Linked DNA regions of Canis lupus familiaris. The protein of the gene in region 2 purifies or fractionates together with the protein of the main gene of each other region. This does not show direct contact. Links are inferred from orthologs where the notes say so. Each region holds a gene or a part of one and is shown on either strand. Other genes may lie near its edges. The genes, in order: PTPN11 and SLAMF1.

Region 1 (3,820 bases), on a different chromosome or scaffold from region 2:
TTTAGTTTACCAAATCTCATCCATACATTGGGCAAGTAGCTGTGTATGAAACTTTTTCAGTTTTTTAAAAGCTACTGTTTATTGAGCATGTGCTCCACTCCGGCCTCTGTGCTCAGTGTTTTCCATACATTACTAACATTTGATCCACACAACAACCCTGTAAAGTATGTGCCATTATCTGCATTTCACAGATGAGGAAACTGAAGGTCAAAGAGGTATGGGATTTGCCTTGGGAAGTCCTAGAGAAGCTGGGCTCCACGTGTGGATTGGACTAACCCCAAAGCCCTTAGCTAATCTATTCTCAAATACAAACAGGCAGTCTTATAAATACTCTCAAGAGCAGACATTGTTTCTGTTCATATTAATAGTGTGGGTTTGAGTCCAAAACCCCTATGAATGGCTCCAGCGTCATTGCTCTTTGTCCTTCTGTCCACAGTGCTGGGATTGGCCGGACAGGGACGTTCATTGTGATTGATATCCTTATTGACATCATCAGAGAGAAAGGTGGGTCATCTGGAGGGCAAGAAGTTGTAAGTTCTTTTTTAGTTTATGGAAGGAAAGTGCTAGTGAAAATAGCCTGGAGGAGAGAATTTGAATGTTAAAACATTTTTAAAAATCTGGGCTGAAGACTTTGACTTTCAGTTGTTTATAGGAGAACAAAAGTGATTCTATTTGAGCCTTTGACATAAAATGAAGCCCAGGAGCCGTGGTCCCGCTGCTGTGGTCTTTTGTTGAATATGCAGTGGTGGTCTCTGGGGTGGTGCTGATGGAGAGTCCTGACCTCCGATACTTAATCAGATCATTTTCTGGAATCATTTGTATTAGTCAGAAGGCAGTGTAGCCCTTGAAACATGTTCAGTTAGAACATTAAAGACTACATTTAAAAAAAAATTAAAAAAAAAAAAAAAAAAGACTACATTTACTATATCTCTGAGTCTGCTAAAAGTTGTGCATTAAACCACTTCATCCTGGCCCCACAGTTTCTCCTAATGCTTCATGGTGCTTGCTTTGCAGGTGTTGACTGCGACATTGATGTTCCCAAAACCATTCAGATGGTGCGGTCTCAGAGGTCAGGGATGGTCCAGACAGAAGCACAGTACCGATTCATTTATATGGCTGTCCAGCATTACATTGAAACACTACAGCGCAGGATTGAGGAAGAGCAGGTACCAATCCTGGAGGGGGCTGGTGTGCATATTTGTACTTTCTTTTCTGGGCAGCTCTGATACACTCTGCTTTTGAGCAGGATGGGCCTCTAAGAGATAGCTGTTACTGTTCAGGAATGAGAAACTCATTCCCAACCAGGAAGGGCCTCTCTGGAAACTATTCCCCACTTCACAACTCTGGTATTTCAGCAGAGGGTAGCTTGGAGATAGCTGCTATCATCCTGGCCTGGCAGATTGGGGAACTGCCACGTGGAAAGGTTAGGATTTTCCCAGACAACATCCCAGGATTCTCACATGGCAAGTTTGGAAATGAAAGCCTTGAAGTTTCCAGCCTGTTCCTGTTTAGATCCAGGCCATCTTTATCCTGATCCCATCTCTTAAACAAATGCTTCACTCTTCATAGCACATAGCAGTTTGAACCATAAACTTGGTTGAGTTGGAAACAGTGAAATTTCAATTTTAATAAGCCATGCATAATGAAGAAGAATGTGGAGTTGGAGCATTTCCATTTGAAGCTATTCATAACAGACACAAAGCTGAGTTAATTAAGAATACGCTGAGATGAGGGAAATGAGGAGACTGCTCCTTTGGGGATCTGGGCATCTCCCCCCCACCCCCCCACCCCCAACTGCTCTGCTGCAGACAGGGGAATGTCTAAACAGCAGTGATATCTGCCTACTTTACCCTGTGTATTGCCTTCCAGAGAACCCGGCTTCTCAGAATGGCACCTGCCAGCGAATTGAGAGACTTCTAGCCTAGCAGAATAGCAGCCACATTATCAAAAGCTTCATTAGCCAAAGTAAGATATCTGTCAGCTTAGTAGGTTCTCAGTTCACATAAAAAGACTAGATTATGGGGTGCCTGGGTGGCTCAGTCGGTTAAGTGTCTGACTCTCGATTTCAGCCCAGGTCATGATCTCAGGGTTGTGAGATTGAGCCTGGCACTGGGCTCCGTGTTCAGTGCAGAGTCTCCCTCTGCTCCTCTCTCTGCTCGTTTGCATTCTCTCTCTCAAATAAATAAGATCTTAAAATCCAAAACACTAGGGGCAGCCTGTGTAGCTCAGCGGTTTAGTGCCGCCTTCAGCCTGGGGCATGATCCTGGAGACCCAGGATCGAGTTCTGCGTCGGACTCCCTGCATGGAGCCTGCTTCTCCCTCTGCCTGTCCTCTCTCTCTCTATGTCTCTCATGAATGAATAAATACAATCTTTAATAAAAAATTCAAAACACTAGATTGTTTTCGTTGTACAAAAACATCTTCAGCAACGGTGTACGTATAGAAATATAAGGTCAAATAATCAACATGGTACCAGTTTTGACCTTCAGTGCTTTAAATCTGATTTGGTGTTATCGTAATTGTTACAAAATATTTAGATGGTTGCTATAGGCTATTTTCTATTTGTCTTCCAATTATACTGAATTTGGGCCAGGAATAAAACATGAAGTTGCCCATATAGAAAGACCTCCTAATAAATACAAAGAGAATGTAGCACACTATTGGTACAAATTCAGGAATATCTTGAAGCATATAATCTTGTTTGGAAAAGCTAGGGGAAAAGCTCTCTTTATTTCATTCAGAAGTTTTGGTATTTATCCTTGTTTTGGCAACTTTAGTAGGGACTTCCCCAGCCTTACAGCACTTGAGATCTTCTGAATTACCGTATATAGTCTCTCTGACCCTAAATCTCAAGATGTAATTTGGATTTAAGAACTCCTTTAAAGATAGCTTTATCGGGCAGCCCTGGTGGCGCAGCGGTTTAGCGCCGCCTGCAGCCCAGGGTGTGATCCTGGAGACCGTGGATCGAGTCCCACGTCGGGCTCTCTGCATGGAGCCTGCTTCTCCCTCTGCCTGTCTCTCTCTCTCTCTCTCTCTCTCTCTCTGTGTCTCTATGAATAAATCAGTAAAATCTTTTTTTTTTTTTAAAGATTTACTTATTTATTCATTCAGAGAGAGCTACCCTAAATCAGTAAAATCTTAAAAAAAAAAGCTTTATCACCCCAGGGTCAGGAGGGGGTAGAAAAAAGCAGAACATATTCCTTGATAATTTAAGTCTTATAGAATATCGAAACTGGATGTCACTGATAATCCTATTTGAAGAGTGCTTCAAATGAATGCATGCATTCATTCGTTCAGCCAGTACTTTTTGGTGCCAATATGTGCCAATATTGTCCTTATTAGCACATTAACTGCTCTTTGGGATCTGAGCCTTCAGAGTTTAAAAAGATGGGTTGGGGGATCCCTGGGTGGTGCAGCGGTTTGGCACCTGCCTTTGGCCCAGGGCGCTATCCTGGAGACCCGGGATCGAGTCCCCCATCGGGCTCCCGGTGCATGGAGCCTGCTTCTCCCTCTGCCTGTGTCTCTGCCTCTCTCTCTCTCTCTCTCTCTCTGTGACTATCATAAATTAAAAAAAAAAAAAAAAAAAAAGATGGGTTGGCTTATTCATTTTTAAAAATGAGATCCTATAACGTGTAGTTCCATTTAATTCCATGTATGAACTTACTACCTGATTTTGTGGTAGAATTAAGAAGTACCTTCTTCTGGTAGAAAGCTTAAGTGGTAGCCTTAAGAACTAGTGAAGCCACCTGAGTTTTAAACTAAGCCAAAGAATGAAACTCATTTAGGATCATTGGTTATTCTTTTAAATACCATCATTTCT
Region 2 (3,820 bases):
TGTCTCTGTCTCTCTCTTCGCTCTCTGAATGAATAAATAAATAAATCTTTAAAAAAAAAAAAAAAAAAAAAAAAGAAAGGGATGGTGAGACCCAAAGAGAGAAGGATGGATTGCGGGGGTGGGGTGGGGGTACGATGGGGCTGTGGGCAAAGACATCTTCGAGGTAGAGGGATTCAAGAGGCAGAGAAAGACAGGAATGGAGGAATTCAGGAAGTTTGGCTGAAATGTGAAATAGACTATTTTTGATGAAGAAAACATCCCTAAAAATCTGCATTATTGCTTAAAGCTTTTTAAAGCCAGATTCGTGTGTTTAATTCCCCCATTGGCTGGGACACTGTTCTGAGACTAGAGCTCCAGGTGCAGACAGGGCGTCCTCCAGGTGTCTGTCTGTCTGGTAGGAACTTTGCGGCAGAGGGATAAATGCAGGCATTTCTGGGACCTTTTGATCCTCAACTATCTCATGTAATAGAACCCCACTGGACCCAAGATTTCAGCCCAGAATTTATTTCTGCCCATTTAGGAAAAGGAATAATTCCTGTCGAGTAAACTTAATCCATGCTGATCTTGCAGTGGGGGTAGCTGGCGAGGCTCCATCTGGGCTGCACACCATAGTCCCTTCCCCGCTCATGCCAGGCACACTCCCCGCCTAGACAGTCTGATGAAATCGGGGTGGATGGAGCACAGGCATGAGCCTTCTCACAAAGCTTCCCTGTGATTCTGTTATACACCTTGGACTCAAGATGCAAATCCCAAATATACACTTGGTCTAGGATCCCTTGGGGAGGTTGTTTTTTAACGTATAGATGCCTGGTTGCTCACCATGGACGTTCTGATTGAACAGAATCCTAGTAGAAAGCTCCAGGAATCTTTATTTTTAGCAAATATGCCAGCTGATTCTGATGTGGTTTTTGGACAGCTCTCAGAGAAACACTAGTGAGAGAGAAAGAGCTGTGTCCCCATGTGAGCAGCCAGGAAGGGTCTCCCAGAAGTCCCACAGCCAAGGCCATGGAGGATCCTGGTGACCCACTTGCTAAGGCCTGCCTCCCCCACTTCAGGACTGCTTTATTTTGGCTCTAGTCATGTCTCACCGTTCCCCTCTTCCACCTCTACCCTCCCTTCAGGGAGGAGGCTCAGAGAGATGCCTCACCTGCACAGGTTCTGGGGCAGGTTCTGGGACAGGTTCTGTGGCAGCAACATAAATGGTGGTGCAGGGGTCCTCAGCTGGCAAGGGATCAGGTTTCTTCTGAGTAGACTACAAGGCAAGCAAAGAAAGCGGAAATCAGCCGAGCAGAGTTGTTTCCATCCAATTCCCCCCACGGAGAACCACAAGATCCAGAGGCTTTGAGCTAGAAAACCCCTCAGAGTCAGCTGGTCCAGCCTCCTTCCCAGGTGGAAATGCTCCTGCAAATTCCCCCGAGTTCAATTTTCACGACTCTGCTTGGAGTCCCCAAGTGGCATCACGGAGTTCACAGCCTCGTGAGGCCGCCCACTTCACCGTGAGCATTTCCAGATGTTTTGAGTCTTCCTCGTGGTGCATCAGGACTGGTGTGGCTGTCACCAGGGCAGCTGAAGGGAACTGGATCTTCATAATATTTGTCTCAGTCCGGTCACCTCCAACACACTGAGTTCACCCCACCCCACACAGCTGTTCCTGCTATTTCCTACTAGGACATGGTTTCCCGTGACTTCTCTTCCCTGCCGGAGTGCTGAACTTACTAATAAGCATATTAGGTGTGCCAGTTTACAATGCTTCCACAGGTGCCACATTTGTCTCACATCGACTGTACACTAAATCCCATTGTTACGTTTCACAGATGGAGAAGCTAAGGCTCAGAAAGACTTAATATTCCTATGTACACCCAAGAAGCGTCAAAGCCAGGAGTCCCACGGAGGCCTCTTGGCTTAAAGTGCATGCTCTTCCCATCATGCTTTTTTTCTTTGCTTACCCCAACTTATAATGACCTCTCCTCTACTTAAATTCCCCAGATTAGTCTAATTCATACGTGATTGCACTTAACTGTATGATATTTAAAACCCTCTGATATATTTACATGTTGTTTTTTTCAAACAGACTAATTTTTCCTATATTTCTTCGCATTCCCCACAAATATAGCCCTGGGCATTTTTTTTTAATTCAGCTGATGTTACTTTAAATAAATGGCCTACAATCTATAAGACTAGGACAAAGTCAGTGTAGGGGTGAATTGAGACCACATCCCTGTGAAATGGAGGTAACAAGACTTATGCCAGGGAAATCATCCTTTCAACACACTTTGGGGGCACTGGGGTAGGATATTGCTACTCTCCATTTCTCCTGGATGTAGAGCAAGACTTGAAACATGTTTTCATGTGAGGAAACTCTGAATCCTGTCCTCTGATGGAGAAGGTAAGGAGTTGAAAAGGCTTACAGGAGGAAAGAAGACTCCAGGTGGAACATGATCTTTCTCTTTATATACTTGATGGATTGTCATGTAGAAAAGGAATTAAACTTGTTCTGTAGAGTCCTTCAGGTATAAACCAAGATTGGAATTTGGGGAAAACATTTTGGTTAAATATAGTGAAGATCTTTCTGACACTAAGAGATGCTCAAATGTGGAGTGGATTGCCTTAGGAGACAAGGGATTCCTCATTTCCAGAAGTGGCTGCGTTAGATCTGGGCTTCTCATACTTGAATGTGCATACGCATTACCTGGGCATCTTGTTAGAAGGCCAGTTCTGTTTCAGAAAATCCGGGGTAGGACCTGAGGTTCTGCATTTCTAATAAGATCCCGGGTGATGCTAATGTTGCTTGTTCACAGACTATATTTTAGTAAAAAGGAGCCAGCCAACATTATGGAAGTAATACTGGGAGGATGACTCAAGCAGTAATTGGGTGATTCAAAGAGATGACTTTCAAGATCCCATACAACTCATAGATACTATATGTTGGAGAAAAAATGACTTTAAGGAAGGATTACTTGCAGTAATGAGATAGATGAAGAGATTGTGAAATAATTTAATTAAGAGACCTTTATCCACCCCTGCCTGTCTTCCCATCTGAGAGGACTTTGATAGGCCCTGACTTAGAAGTACAGGAGAGAAGTCAGTAACTCATGCTTTTAATGTTTAGTTAAGTTTTGGAAAGGAGAAGAAGAGATAAAGGAAACCACCTGTAGTCTTACCACTTCAGCATAACATAGTTAGCGTGTTGTTAGATTTCCCATCAGGACTTTAACCTGGATTTAGATAATTCTTTTAAATATAGTTGTAATAACTTAGTGCATTATTGTATCTTGGTGTCTTCAGTTAGGGCATGAGTCCAGGGAACATGATTTACAAGAAACTCCAGGGGTATTATTCTCACATATTCTTTGGGAGTGGTGTTCCCCAGAGTTATACAAGGGAGCACTCCTGATAAGACCTACAAGGATTCCCTCGCAGATAGCAAGTGTGTGTTGCATAATTTTCCCTGTTACTCTAATCTTTATAACACTATCATATGACTGTTACAAATAAGAATAAAGGAAATGTTAACATTTAATCATTGTCCACATTGTTAGCCTTTATATGATCTCATATAACATTGCAAATATGAACAAAGAAAATTATAAAAATGTAAGTGCAAATGTGTATTGATGTGTAAAACAAAAATAATTATGTCTCCTATGTTTAAACATACATGAAATTACAATAAAGGCCAAAAAAGACACGTAAATCAGAAGGTGAAGTTAAAGGGAAGATGAAGTGTTGTGTAGGAAGAGAATAAATATTAGACTTTGGTGAGTCAAGGAGGCATTTTATAATTTCGAGGTTAGCAACTAAAAAAAGGGGGTAAAGGTTG

Evidence for each region.
Region 1: the proteins of SLAMF1 (region 2) and PTPN11 purify together in Homo sapiens (affinity purification with western blotting; 3 studies listed by BioGRID and IntAct, with this or other methods). This does not show direct contact. The link is inferred for Canis lupus familiaris from reciprocal best matches to the Homo sapiens genes SLAMF1 and PTPN11.

Annotation. Positions count from the first base shown.
Region 1 is NC_049247.1:10,376,865-10,380,684, forward strand, and holds part of PTPN11 (tyrosine-protein phosphatase non-receptor type 11), read left to right. Parts: intron 1-436; coding exon 437-504; intron 505-1,014; coding exon 1,015-1,166; intron 1,167-3,820. UniProt on the Homo sapiens protein: Acts downstream of various receptor and cytoplasmic protein tyrosine kinases to participate in the signal transduction from the cell surface to the nucleus. Positively regulates MAPK signal transduction pathway. Dephosphorylates GAB1, ARHGAP35 and EGFR.
Region 2 is NC_049259.1:22,509,126-22,512,945, reverse strand, and holds part of SLAMF1 (signaling lymphocytic activation molecule precursor), read right to left. Parts: intron 1,253-3,820; coding exon 1,148-1,252; intron 1-1,147.